3 linked regions of the Lepisosteus oculatus genome follow. The protein of the gene in region 2 purifies or fractionates together with the protein of the main gene of each other region. This does not show direct contact. Links are inferred from orthologs where the notes say so. Each region holds a gene or a part of one and is shown on either strand. Other genes may lie near its edges. The genes, in order: kpna6, chd8 and kpna5.

What was found.
Region 1: the proteins of chd8 (region 2) and kpna6 purify together in Homo sapiens (affinity purification with mass spectrometry; 4 studies listed by BioGRID and IntAct, with this or other methods). This does not show direct contact. The link is inferred for Lepisosteus oculatus from reciprocal best matches to the Homo sapiens genes CHD8 and KPNA6.
Region 3: the proteins of chd8 (region 2) and kpna5 purify together in Homo sapiens (affinity purification with mass spectrometry; 3 studies listed by BioGRID and IntAct, with this or other methods). This does not show direct contact. The link is inferred for Lepisosteus oculatus from reciprocal best matches to the Homo sapiens genes CHD8 and KPNA5.

The regions. Positions count from the first base shown.
Region 1 is NC_090706.1:3,287,468-3,292,287, forward strand, and holds the start of kpna6 (importin subunit alpha-7), read left to right. Parts: upstream 1-2,130; 5' UTR 2,131-2,282; coding exon 2,283-2,286; intron 2,287-2,338; exon of another isoform or gene 2,339-2,709; intron 2,710-4,820. Other genes in the region: tmem39b (transmembrane protein 39B), read left to right, coding at 1-105. UniProt on the Homo sapiens protein: Functions in nuclear protein import as an adapter protein for nuclear receptor KPNB1. Binds specifically and directly to substrates containing either a simple or bipartite NLS motif.
Region 2 is NC_090699.1:12,468,048-12,472,867, reverse strand, and holds the start of chd8 (chromodomain-helicase-DNA-binding protein 8), read right to left. Parts: upstream 2,934-4,820; 5' UTR 2,781-2,933; intron 1-2,780. UniProt on the Homo sapiens protein: ATP-dependent chromatin-remodeling factor, it slides nucleosomes along DNA; nucleosome sliding requires ATP. Acts as a transcription repressor by remodeling chromatin structure and recruiting histone H1 to target genes.
Region 3 is NC_090697.1:32,629,949-32,634,768, forward strand, and holds the start of kpna5 (importin subunit alpha-6), read left to right. Parts: upstream 1-2,110; 5' UTR 2,111-2,235; coding exon 2,236-2,239; intron 2,240-4,820. UniProt on the Homo sapiens protein: Functions in nuclear protein import as an adapter protein for nuclear receptor KPNB1. Binds specifically and directly to substrates containing either a simple or bipartite NLS motif.

The sequences.
Region 1 (4,820 bases), on a different chromosome or scaffold from region 2:
TTCAGTAATTATTATGCCTTCTTCAAATTACTCCGGGACAGGATAGTACTAGGGAAGGCTTACTCGTATTCCTCAAGCAGCACTTCTGACCAGAAAATAAGTTAAATGTTGCCATGGAACAACTACAGAATATGCCAGAGAGCTTTGTATTTTTTCTACAAGTGCTTTTTTTTCTTCGTGTCGTTGTTGTTTGTTTTTGGTTCTTTTCTGCCATAATAAAAAAACATATTTTTGTATTCCCTTAAAAGAGTCTTCCTTTCTTTCTTTGGTTGTATTTGAGGTGTTACTGAACGCTTGTGTGCTGGGGTTGTGTGTGTGTAGACAGTACAATGGTAGAAATGTGTGGGCATCCTCAGAGTATGTGGCACTGGCTGGGACAGATGTCTCCGAAGATTTTTTGCCAACAATAAAAAAGATCTGAAAGAAAATAAAATGACACACTGCATCAGTCTGATAGTGTTTTTTCCCCTGATACTCTTTTGCAAATGTCAACACATCAACACATTGTGGCTCCAGATGTCTTGGACTGCTGGCTTTGTCTCATCACTGCTTCTCTCAGTTAAAAAGTGTTTGAACGGCAAATGAAGATGTTTTTCTTCTCTTGGAATGTTTGTTCTGTTTCTTCTTCAAAGATGGCACTTGGGTGCAGAGTCCAAATGTAAGCACAGAAAAACACAACTGTCTCCAATTTATGAGGCAAGATAGTGTTTTGGATATACCTGGAACTGCTGATAAAATCATTGGTAGTCTAGGTTCAGCCGATTTGCCTGAAAATCCTTACCACCGGTGAACAGAATGAATCGCTATTCATTAAACCCCTGGAAAGATATAGCTGAATAATTTGTAACTGAAGAATAGAAATCCTCCAAGTCAAATGCACTACTCACAATTGCTTGCAATGAAGGATGCCAATAAAACAATTTGGGCTGCGACTGTGGTTCAGGGTACAAATGTCGCAGCCAAAATAAATTCAAGATCATCTTTATTTCCGTCCCTATCCTGGACACCTGATTGCACAGTAAAGAGCAAAGGCACTGTGGGCTTGACGTTCAGATGGAGGACAGTTTCTGACTGTTTTGAAGATAATCTATCTTGCAGATAACCAGCTCTTTTGTTGTTCAGAGTGCGTTGTGATGGACAGTTCATCAGTGTGCTCTGTGTGAGTGATTATTGAGTTGACTCTGCTGAGTAAGCCGTTCACCAATCTACCCCTCACGGACTTTGTTACAGTTTAATTTGATGCAGCTGGATTGCTGAAATGTAGGGGCCTAAGCTTTAAATGCATCGAAAATGAATCAGTTCTCTGGATTTTCTGTTGATAATAATCAAGGTACGAGTTCCTGTGAAATTAACACAACATTACAAATTTTGTGTTCTAGACATGGTTAATGTCTTTGTTTCTGGGATGGTGGCATTGCGATTATTCCTGCTGCCTCGCAGCTCTCAAGTCCTGGGTTCGATTCTGGACAGTGGCACGTTCTGTGTGCAGCTGGCATGTTTGGAGTGTTTTCTTTAGGTGCTCGGATAGGTGTTGGCTGGTTTTATAATTTCTTTAGTAATGTCAGACAGACAATTGAATCCTTGGAGAATGTTGCTGAAAAAACGTTTAGGAAGACATGACAAGGAAGGATTGCACACAACTTATCCTGACCATAATATCCCACTCAAGATCTGACAGCTCTTTCAAGATAGGCACTGCCAGAACACGCATAAATTGCAATTGCTGTTTGGCTACAGACAAATTAACACTACAAGCTGAACCTTAGCTGTCTTGTGTATTATCTTGTGTATTCTTTTTATTTATTGTTGTTGTCATTCTATAAAGCGCTTTGAGAAGCCACCTTTAAAGGCGCTATATAAAATAAAGTTTATTATTATTACTATTATTATTACTACTTGGGAGTTAAAATAAGGACTGACTCTCAGAGAGAGTTTTTTTCATCTCGTACGTGTGAGTAATTTGTATGGCATCATTTATTATCTAACTGCGAAGCTCTGAATGAATGCTTCAACTTGGATTGTCATCGGCATGCGTGCATCAGTCAGCAGAGCTGTTCAGGCGTAGTTCCTCGCCGAGCAATCGCCGGCTCTGAACCGCCCACCTTTTTCTAAAACGCGACGACGAGCCATTTGGCTGCTCCGGGCTTCCGTCGTCTTCCGACATATTGTCTGCGGACAGCAAATTCTGGAAGGGAGGGAGAGCGGGTGTGAGATTAAAATTAACAGAAATCGGGACAGAAGAGAGACACGGGGGGGCTGTCACCGGACGTATATCTGCCGCAATGGGTGAGTTGAAAGCGTGTAGCTCCCCGCAGAGCAGGCGGAGAGAGGGCGTCGGTAGACGGGCCGATTCCCCGGGTCACAGTTTCTCTCAGCCGTGCGGGCTGGTGGCGGGGGGGAGATCACGCTTGTCAAACCCCGGCCCTGTCTCTGCTGGAAAACGGGGCAGGGGTGGGGTGGGATCCGTTTCGACTCAAGCGGCAGGTTTTGTCTGGGGACGGGTCCGTGGCGTGGCGCGGCGCGGCTCGGCGCGGCTCCCGGGTGTGGGCCCTGTGTGGACGGGCCTGAGCTCAGGAGAGGCCGTGCGGCTGTTTCCAAGGGAGGGGAGCGGAAAAAAAAACACCTTTTACAGCAGCCATAGGCGGAAAAATTGCAGAAACGCTCCCTAATATTACCCACTCTCACAGTGTCACTCCATCTGTCTGCATGGTACGTAACATAAATAATAATAAAAAAAACCCTACAAAACGTGATCTTGATTTGGATGTTTATAGCAGTGGCTCATTATGCACTGTCTTAGTACTAGACGTGTTGTGGCTTTTTAGTAATCCGATGATTTCCATTATCAGAAGTTTTTTCTTGTTTCTTTTTTGGCCTGTAGGATGTACAACACAGTATTTGTTTTTCTTCATATATCCTCTACGTCGTATGAGAAACTGCGGGGAGGGGATCGAAAACGGCGTTTCAAGAATTACAATATTTCCACATACATTAAATTTGTGTGAACCGCTGGTGTGGCGGCTTCCGACATTTTAACTGGCAGGCCTACCGCCGTTTCTCTCTAGTTTGTCTTTTGAAACCTCTGTATTAAAGAAAGAGGGAATCATCTCCCGATTTGATTTAGATTTTTTTTTTGCAGTATCGCTAAAGTAGAATGGAGTTTGATTTAAAGGATCTAATTGTGCCCGGTTTTTCAGATATAATTCAATTTGCCTTTGTCTGACTTAAACGGGTCGGTTTCTATTCACACGTTTTTAGGTCTGTTTTGTTCATGCAGGATCTGATTCATATTTGCACAAGGCTCTTGAGTCAGGCAGTGACTCATGTGCTTAAGCTCTCTCGAGTATATTCTTCACCCTAGCTGGGAAACGCTTCATTTCTGAAAGTCGGTGGCCCCCGATATTCATCGTGAACTGTTCCTCTGCGGCATCGTATTTGATAACTGCAGACAGAGTCGTAAGGGACCAGTAAATGCGGAGGTGTCCTGGGTTTGATCGTCTCTAAGCCAGGGGTTTCGATTCTGGCCCTGCAGAACCACAGACCCGTTAGTGTTTCTGCCACCTGAGCACTCAAGTAATCGCTCCTTTAATATAGCTAATGATAGGTCAAGTAAAACCTCTTTCCCTGGAGTTCCTCAAGATTTATGAGGCTGCCTTTTAACTATTAAGTTGTCAGTAAAATCTACAGCCTTCAATAATAATAGTCATTCCTTACAATTACATAGTGCCTTTCTAGACTCGCTGACTCAAAGTGCTTTACAGGTAATGGGGACTCCCCTCCACAACCACCAGTGTGCAGCACCACCTCTGAGTACCAGGATAAAAAAAACCTGCAGAGGTTCCAATCAGGCAACTTGTTGTCCAGTTAAGGATTCATAGGTCAGGGGCTCCGCTGCAGTGTGGATCTCTAGGACCAGGATGGGGCAGTCCAAAAAGACTGAATTGATCCGTTATTCCTCATTTCTGGATGCCCAGGATGGCACTTTCCCTGGACGTGAAGATCACAGGACCAGGGGTGTCCAGGTGTGGTTCTGGAGGAGCGACTGCAGGGTTTCAGTCCAGCTCAGCTCCTTGTGACCTCACTCAGACTGCTATTGGCTTGCCTGGACCCATCTGACTGCTTCTCACTGCTCTTCAGGCCCTGCTGGCATTAAAGACCGACTAGCAGGCCTTGGCACTTGCTGGACAGCTCTGACCCAGAGTGAATAGTCTGGGGCTGCTGAAGGTATCACAGTGTATCGGTCACAAGCATATATATGTGATGCATTGTTTTCTCAGCAGCTTAAATGTAAATTAAGGGTCATACATTTTACAGCGCATAGAACATTTTGTATTTTTGATCACTTACACATGTATTGACTGAATTTAGGTCTTTTGTGTAAAAAAACAATTACCCTCTTCTTGGTATGGCTTTTCAGACTTCCTTGGATTGTTCATTCCTAGCCGATTACAGTGGTTCTGATCTAGCATTGTGTGTTTAAAAAATGAACTGGACGTCTGTACGTTTGTCCTGAGGTTTGGAGAACACGGTGGGGTGTTGAATTGCGAAGTGCCAGAGGGAGATGCAGTTCCTGCTAGCGGTTTCGGAAGAGGTCGCAGTCACCCCTGAACCTTTTAGGAAGGGAATGGAGGTTCTCGGAGAGTTTGCTCGTTTGGAAGGAAGTTGTCCGGTTTGATCTCGTACCTGAGAAGGAAGCCCAGGCAGGTGCCGTCTGCGCTGAGATATCCGTGTTTGCAGTCTGGCCCTGCCTCCCAGCTCCCTGAGCGTGTCCCAGACCAGGAGCACAGGTTCCATGGAAAAACAGACGGAGCTGCTAACTG
Region 2 (4,820 bases):
TCCCGAGCTTCACAAATGTGCATAGAAAACCCAAAACATTTGAGTACCATCTGCAAGAACTCCAACCAAACAACTTCTGAGCTCGACTAACACATCAATTACATAAGTAACACAGGCTGGAATGAAGACTAGCAGTGTCTCGGGCAGCAGGTCAGTGTCATGGGCAGAGGGTCAGTGTCACGGGCAGTGCCTCGGGCAGCAGGTCAGTGTCACGGGCAGCGGGTCCATGCATTGGGCAGTGCCTCGTGCAGCAGGTCAGTGTCGCGGGCAGAGGGTCAGTGTCGCGGGACATGCCTCGGGCAGCAGGTCCGTGCCTCGGGCAGCAGGTCAGTTCATCGGACAGTATCTCGTGCAGCAGGTCAGTGTCGCGGGCAGAGGGTCAGTGTCGCGGGACATGCCTCGGGCAGCAGGTCCGTGCCTCGGGCAGCAGGTCAGTTCATCGGACAGTATCTCGGGCATCAGGTCAGTGTCATGGACAGTGCCTCGGGCAGCAGGTCAATGCATCGGACAGTATCTCGTGCACCGGGCAGAGGGTCAGTGCACCGGGCAGTGTCATGGGCAGAGGGTCAGTGCACCGGGCAGTGTCATGGGCAGAGGGTCAGTGCACCGGGCAGTTCCTCGTGCAGCAGCTCAGTGTCGCGGGCAGAGGGTCAGTGCACCGAGCAGCAGCTCAGTGTCGCAGGCAGAGGGTCAGTGCACTGAGCAGCAGGTCAGTGTCATGGGCAGAGGGTCAGTGCACCGGGCAGTTTCATGGTCAGAGGGTCAGTGCACCGGGCAGTGCCTCGAGCAGCAGGTCAGTGTTGCAAGCAGAGGATCAGTGTCACGGGACATGCCTCGGGCAGCAGGTCAGTGTCATGAGCAGAGGGTCAGGCAGCAGGTCAGTGTCACGGGACGTGCCTCGGGCAGCAGGTCAGTGTCACGGGACGTGCCTCGGGCAGCAGGTCAGTGTCGCGGGCAGAGGGTCAGTGTCACGGGACGTGCCTCGGGCAGCAGGTCAGTGTCGCGGGCAGAGGGTCAGTGTCACGGGACGTGCCTCGGGCAGCAGGTCAGTGTCGCGGGCAGAGGGTCAGGCAGCAGGTCAGTGTCACGGGACGTGCCTCGGGCAGCAGGTCAGTGTCACGGGCAGAGGGTCAGTGTCACGGGACGTGCCTCGGGCAGCAGGTCAGTGTCGCGGGCAGAGGGTCAGGCAGCAGGTCAGTGTCACGGGACGTGCCTCAGGCAGCAAGTCAGTGTCGCGGGCAGAGGGTCAGTGCAGCACGTCAGTCTCATGGGCAGAGGGTCAGTGCACCGGGCAGCAGCTCAGTGTCGCGGGCAGAGGGTCAGTGCCTCAGGCAGCCGGGCAGTGCCTCGGGCAGAGGGTCAGTGTACCAGGCAGTGTCACGGGCAGAGGGTCAGTGTCACGGGCAGTGCCTCTTGCAGTAGGTCAGTGGACTGGGCAGAGCATCACTGTCATGGGCAGTGTCTTGGGCAGCAGGTCAGTGTACTGGGCAAAGCATCAGTGTCACAGGCAGCAGGTCAGTGTCATGGGCAGCAGGTGCAGCAGTTCAGTGTCTCAGGCAGCAGGTCAGCGACTCAAGCAGAGCTCAGAGGACACCCCCAGGTGCCCCCACACTGCCCCTGTCCCCCAAGAACAGACGCTAACAGAGAGGCGCGCCGATACAGTCCAGCAATAACCCCACACACACACTCAGGGCGCTCAGCGGCGCTATCCGCTCCAGGTATTCACAGTGGCAGGACCCTCGGGAAGCTCGAGAGGAAAAGCTGGGACTCGGATCCTGCGGGAATTCACACGGGAATACAGCCCGTCCAGCACCAGCACACTTTCATCCCATACAGCGCCTTTCCACCCGGGGGCTGCGGGGAGGGGGGGGGCTCATCGCAGCCAGGCAGCGTGAGGCAGCAGCCACAACACCACGCGTGAGCGAGACACGCAGGGAAGGAGACGCGAATACGGGACAAATGAAGGTGTATCCCGGGCTGGAGAGCGAAGGAAAGAGACGCGGCGTGTCGGCTGCCGGCGAGAGGAGTGAAATCGGGGCTTCGGCGGCGGCAGAGGGGAAAGTCTGCCGTCCTGCCCGGCTCCCAGCCTCACCGCCCGCCGCCGCCGGGAAGACCCGGGCTGGATCGGACCGCGATGGAAGAGGAGTCAGCCTGCCTCCCCGACAGCAGTCTTCACCCCAACCCCCCTCACTTCCAAACACACCATCACGATGTTACAGCAGGGTGAAATTCTCCTTCGAGCCGAGCCGAGCCAGCGACACACCACAACACAACACCACAGAGCCGAAAGACGGCCACACGGACTCGGCGGCCCCGGGCGAGCGAGCCGCTGCCGGCCGCCGGCCGCCGGAGAGGAGATGCGCCCGCAGGAGAGAGGGAGAGAGAGGGGAAACTGAAAGTCACAAACTCCGGTGCGGGAGTCAGACAGGAGACGCGATTTCCCGGGGGCTGCCTGCCGCAGACACGGGCACAGAAACACCGAGGAGCGGGGTAGCCAGCGGTCTCTCGCCCCCCGCACAACAACAACAACCACCACCTCCCTCCTCCTCTTCCTCCTCCCTCTCCCCTCTCCCTCAGCGAGCCGACCGGAGCAGCGTGCGGCTCCGCTCCGAACCCGCTCCCGCGACAGGCCGCGCCGCGCCTGGGCGCCGGGCGAGGGGACGCGGCCGGGGCCCCCGCGGGCCGCCGTCGGAGGCCGCCTCCCGGCAAAACCCGGCTCCCTCCCCCGCCCCCCCGCCGACTCCGGCCCTCCGCGCTCCTTTCGGGGTGTAAAAATTTACCTTTACCGCGACACACATGGCTTTCAGCGTCTCTCTCTCTCGCAACACTGTACGCTACAGGAAACGGCCGGAGCCAGAGCAGGAACTAACTTTCCTAAGCGACGCAGGGCCTCGCCGCAGCCTTCCCTATACCTCCTCCCCTCCCCCTCTATGCCCCGCCCCGTCCGGGGCTACGCAAGAGACGTCGGGCTGCGATTGGCCCAGTCCGCATGGGCGCTGACGGCTACCGGAACTCAATTGGCTGGAAGACGCTGTCGATCACGGTGTTATCTTGTGGAGGGGGGGAGGAGGAGGGAGTGCGACAAGGCAGCGAGGGGGTAGTTCGGTTGAGAGCGCAGCGGGAGAGTGCGGCCTGGTGCGTTTCTAGGCAGGTTTGGAGCCTGAGATCCCTTCGCTTGTGCGCGGCGTCACAGCTCCCCCACCTCTCTCTCTCCCTCATCCCTTCCGAAAATAAAAAAAAACACAAAACCTGTCACACCACGACCCGCCAGGCCGGAGAAACAGTCGGGCGAGGACCGAGACTGCGTGAGAGCAACTTTCGCGTTTTAGGACCGGGAAAAAAAAACAACCCCACTATTAAACTGAGATCCATATTGTTTGTTTGGGGTTAAAAGCCAGGTGATGGAGTTTATTTCACGCAACGGAAGATCGCTGATGCGTATCTGGGGCCATTTGGCATTGAGTTCTGTGTTACAGTATCGTGCAGATCAATTGTTCCAAGTCAGGAAAACATAAAAAAAACTGTGGAAACACACTTGTATAAGAAAACGTTAAAAGCAATGGCAGGAACAAAGCACGCTTTCACGATACGATGTCAAACTAAGGCTGAACTGTATGAAAAGGAGAACAAGACTGAGGCAGCTGCCTCTGCAGACCAGATCATTTGGTAGCTGGTAGATTGTTAACCCTGGTAAAGTACAGCATTACAAAGACTAGCAGAGAGAATACAGCCACTGTACCCCAGACTGTACCCCAGCCTGCACCAGGAGAGAGAGAAACTGTACCCCAGACTGTACCCCAGCCTGCACCAGGAGAGAGAGAAACTGTACCCCAGACTGCACCATCAGAGAGAGAAACTGTACCCCAGACTGTACCAGGAGAGAAAAACTGTACCCCAGACTGTACCCCAGCCTGCACCAGCAGAGAGAGAAACTGTACCCCATACTGTACCAGCAGCGAGAGAAACTGTACCCCAGACTTTAACAACAGAGAGAGAAAGTGTACCCCAGACTGCACCAGCAGAGAGAGAAACTGTACCCCAGCCTGCACCAGGATAGAGAGAAACTGTACCCCATACTGCACCATCAGAGAGAGAAACTATACCCCAGACTGCACAAGCAGAGAGAGAAACTGTACCCCAGACTGTACCCCAGCCTGCACAAACACAGAGAGAAACTGTACTCCAGGACACCCCTACTCTTACTGACAGTGTCCTGGGATCTGTACTGACCAGTCAGGACACCCCTACTCTTACTGACAGTGTCCTGGGATCTGTACTGACCAGTCAGGACACCCCTACTCTTACTGACAGTGTCCTGGGATCTGTACTGACCAGTCAGGACACCCCTACTCTTACTGACAGTGTCCTGGGATCTGTACTGACCAGCAGTCAGGACACCCCTACTCTTACTGACAGTGTCCTGGGATCTGAACTGACCAGTCAGGACAGCCCTACTCTTACTGACAGTGTCCTGGGATCTGAACTGACCAGCAGTCAGGACACCCCTACTCTTACTGACAGTGTCCTGGGATCTGTACTGACCAGTCAGGACACCCCTACTCTTACTGACAGTGTCCTGGGATCTGTACTGACCAGCAGTCAGGACACCCCTACTCTTACTGACAGTGTCCTGGGGTCTGTACTGACCAGTCAGGACAGCCCTACTCTTACTGACAGTGTCCTGGGATCTGAACTGACCAGCAGTCAGGACACCCCTACTCTTACTGACAGTGTCCTGGGATCTGGACTGACCAGTCAGGACACCCCTACTCTTACTGACAGTGTCCTGGGGTCTGTACTGACCAGCAGTCAGGACACCC
Region 3 (4,820 bases), on a different chromosome or scaffold from region 2:
ATAATTTACAAAAACTATAAATCCGTTAATAAAAAGCAAACAATGTAAGTGTCGTGCATTATTACACAAACCCTGACTGAACAGAACAAAAAGAAAATAAAGATTGAAAGATGACAGTATTTTAAACTTTTATAACATTATACCACGATGGGTAATATTGGTTGGTTTTAAACACTGTAATATATATTCCACAGTTCTGGCATAATTTACAAGTAGTAAGAAATCTGTGGAAAGGACACAATACGTAGAAAAGGTTAGTTCAAAATGAATTGTCATTTGTGCAGCATAAAACACGACTTTCTGTAGGCCTAGGTGTTTGTATGGACATCATTTACATATTCTTGACACTGTAAAAAGCTCTAAAAGGGCAGTAAAATGTTAAATAATACAGTCACAGCTTAGAAATCATATCAAGAGATGTTACAGAACCTTAAAATGGTACAAAGCACAAGATGTCATTTACATTAAGTGTACAGCTTTGATAACCAAATAACAAAAAAGGATATTGCTACATTGGAATCTCTCCAGAGAAGTTAAACTTAACAAATTCCTGGGTTGAAGTAATGATCTGATCTGCACTGACAGGTTTAAAGAGCTTGACTTTTTTTGTTGCTGTTCTGTTGCTGGACGTCTTCCAAATAAAAACACACAGCAGAGGACACCAGTGGAAATGCATCGTGAATTGACATGAGCTGGAGTCCGTATCTTAATAATACTATTCCCAATAGCAATATTATTTTCAGACTTTTATCCAAAGCAACTTACAGATGCTTGACAAAAGGCGTTTAACAGGAAAGGGTTTATGAAATTAAGAAATGGATTACGTATGCAAAATACAAAATACGTACGAGACTCAAGGTGCAGTTGGACCAGAGACTGCGAGGTTTCATGGTCGTTTACATAAGCACACAGTGTATATTTCGGTCCTCATCCAAAAACTAATTGAGTGTTATTCTGTTACATAAATTGTATACGTTTCAGTTAAAAAATATTGACACATGTAATCCGAAATAAGTACTTATCAGTAACTATGAATTAAAGAATAGAAAGTTTCAACAAATTCGCTCCTGTACCCGGACACCACAACATACTGTACATTGAAAATATGATGTTTTTAAAAGAAATCTCTTAAAGCTGAATCAAAACAAAACAAACAAAACAGGATTGTTGTCATTCACCGCGGCGTGAATGACAACAGTCCTGAAGAACCAAGGCCAAGAGCTAACCGGGAATAACAATGCATAACAAAGATAAAAAGAATATAAATAATTAACACTATTCCGCGCTTTTCTCCGGAAAGGTAGAGAAGCATAACAACTTAAAATCATCTTTAAAGACACCGAAAGCTCTGAAAACGGATAAAAACAGGGCAAGAAATGTGCGCTTTAATTTGCCTCGCTTCCTCACCCTTCTTTCTCGTATTTCTACCGCTTTGATCGCTGCCGCTGTACACTCACTATTGCAGCAACAACACTTGCGTTTTCATTTTCCATTCAGCCGACTCCTCTCTTCCGCACGTGAATCCCACCCGCCCGGGCAAGGCCGCGAGCCAATTGAGTGCAAATACGTCACGTCATTGGCCGTGGCCATTTGAGAACATGAAGGTGACGTAATGCGGAATCTCGACGCTTGGGAAGAAATAGACACATTAACCCTCTCTGTGCACTGTTCGTACAAAACACGCTCTGTAGCATGCTTACACTTTTATGTTATGAGTAAACCGTGCTCCGAGAGTATTCCCTGTGTTGGGAATAAGTGCTAAAGTACTCCGTCTACCTCCTGTGTGGTCAGGACGGGACTCTGGCGACTCAATGTCCCTGTGTGTAATGCTGAAGACGGAGGCATCCTAACCCAACAAGTCTATACCTCATACTTCTTTCATACTATTTCAAAATCTCGCATTGAAGTATCCGTAACGCGCGGAGATGCTTTTACTAAATCTCTGATCGGGTCAGGCCTTTAAATTATGTTCTGCTTTTATTATAACACAGTGTCCCTGTGCAATGCAGGCGTTTTCGTCTGTCAGAAAAACCTGCAGCAGTCGTGGATCCTGGATCTTACCGAGCTCCAGCGCTGATTGGCCACAATCTCCTGCTGACGGACATAAGGGGGCTGCTGGGAGTCCTCTGTGCAATTGACAGAGGTGCGCCATATTGCGCTGAACTGTGTTAGCAATCCTGGTGAGGCAGTGCTCGGAAATAGAGCTGCGCAATTACTAAGCACGCAAGGCAGTACATGGGTAAGCGCTTCCTAACCCTTACACGGTCATCGTAGTCACTTGTTTGACAAGCGGAGCATGCCGTGCTCTTTAAGGTACACGGGGGAGGCCAGGCGCCAGGCTGAAGGAGTTTCAGCTGTTTATTTACAGTTAAGGTGGCTTTCGTGGGAGGGGATGTAACTAGAAAATCTGTAGTGCCTGCAGTTCTGAGCTCCGGTGTTAGGTGGCCAGTTGGCGGAGGGTGTAGGCCCCAGAGGCTGGCAACTGGCTCGTAACCAGGCGTTTGGGGTCACTGGAAGTCCTAGACAGGCTGTGGAAGAAGATCTAAAGGTTGGCTGCGGTCTTGTATTTTACCTTGGTTTTGTTTAGTGTCTTGTGATACTCGTGAGCACGCCTGGTGCAGCCCACCTGAAGACACAGGTAACCGTGGTCTTTAAATGTGTTTGCCATTTGTCCTGGAATCTTGCCGACTTGCGTTTTTTTTAAATAAATTGTACGCGGTATGTAATTGTCTCTTTAGGTTAATGTTGAATATCGTAATTTGTACCTATTATGATCTTATCTGGTAACGTCGCCTAGCCTTAGTTCGTACCTGTGATGGGTCTGGTTTGAAGTGTATCGTAAATGTACAGTGACCGTATGAACAAATAGTTGATGGGCGATGACGGGTCAGGCAGTGATGTTTTTCGAATAAAATAATTGGCATTGCTCTAAGCGTAGGTTCGGGTTTGTGTTCTCCGCCGAGTTAACGTTATTTGGCTGACAGTTTTGGTCCATTTGTACCCATTTATATAGCTGGGCATGGGCAGGAAACAGTTCGAGTTAATGATCAGTGCGCAACATCGGTGCCTCTCCCGGAATTTGAACCCCTCAAACTACTAATAACGCTGTTTCACATTTCTACCCTTTCCAGTTCTTCTACCCAACAGTTCTCCTGTTGTTGACTGACGACACCCCTGTCATAAATTCTGCAAATGTCGCTAGCTGTTGCTGAAGGTCACTTAAGTTTAAAATGTCACTATTTTTGGTGCATTAAAGCTGTCACTTAATATTTTCACTTTGTCTATGATCTACGCTTGTAATATCTAGACTGCATTCTTCGAAGCTGAAATGGCTTTATGTATTTCAGTCAACTTGGGTATACTTTGAGTAAAATGGGGGGGAAATTACCGGTAGTGGTTTCCCAAGGTAAAAGAAAGTGAAGGTCCCAGAGTCGCTTGTGTACCAACTTGTTAAAGAATGTTCAACGCCCCCCCCCACACACACACACACCAAAAAAAACGAATGAAAGGTCTAAAAGGGAATCTTTTTTGTGGAGACTGAAATGGGATATCACTGTATTACTGCAATATGAATTGGTAACAATTCCACCATAGAGGTCTTCCCTGTAGTTTTGGTTTTTACACACATTTTACAAACGGATGTACATAGCGTTCATTGATGCCAGAATTTCAGCAAGCTTTGGCAGAGTCTTGTGTATACATGGTCTAATGCAGACTCAGTCACTGGTGGCACGTCTCTGCCACCTTCCCAGAAAACCAGCAGCGTGTCCTTTTTCGTTTGTGTTGATGCTTGCTGCATATTGTCTCTTTCATTTTCCCTGTGGCTCCCTCCTGTTTTTTTTTAACTATCTGGTGAGAAGCCATGACTCCTAATTGTTACAAGTGAGGAAGTCGTTTGTTTCTTCGCTTTCGTGATCTGTGATAACGTCAGATGTGTTGGATCAGTTTGAGTCGGGTGAATCATGTTTTGGTTTTGTAACTTTTACTTTTTACAGGATGGGGTAGTTAGTCCCACCTCGAAGTGCGATGGAGGGGCTGCCTCCTTAAAGCGTTCGACCTAAATTGATTTCTGTTAGGGTCGTCTCTCTTAGCCTTTGAGGATCCCTCCTCTGTCCACAAGGCAGTGGATCCCTGTTGGTCCGTGGGCCCTTATTCTGTATTTTTGGGCCACACTGCTGTTATGGTGGGCTCCCCCATCCGCCCCATGGGGGACACACTCTCTAGGGATTACAGGGTCCTCAAAAGATGGATAAACGATGTTGAAGACCTCAGAAAGCTGAGAGTGAGAGGATGGCGAAGACTGGTATGGGGCCGAGATGCGTGGAGGAGGCCAGGGCTCTACAAGGGCCGTAGCGCCATGCGGCTAGTTAGTTAGAGTCATGTGTTACAGTGGAAAGATGAATGGTGGTAAAGACAGTAATGATACATCTCAAACTTTCTCTTATTAATGTATGGGAAATTCGTTAAATTACCTTTTATTTCTGCTGTGTATGTACACTTGATTTACTTGTTACGTGCCCTGGGTGCTATCTGTGTGGAGCTTTGTATGGGTTTCCTCCAGGCACTCTGGTTTTCTCCCACAGTCCAAAGACACTGGTAGGTTAATTGGCTTCTGGGAAAGACTGGTCCTGGTGTGCGTGTGTGCGTGCGTGTCCCGTGATGAACTAGAGTCCCACCCGGGGTGTTCCCCGCCTTGCGCCCATTGCTTCCCGGGATAGACTCCACCTCCCCTGTCTCCCTGAATTGGGAGAAGTGCTTAGTAAGTGTAGGGATGTGTTGTATGTGACTGAAAGAAAGAAGTGAGGTCTATTATGAGGTTT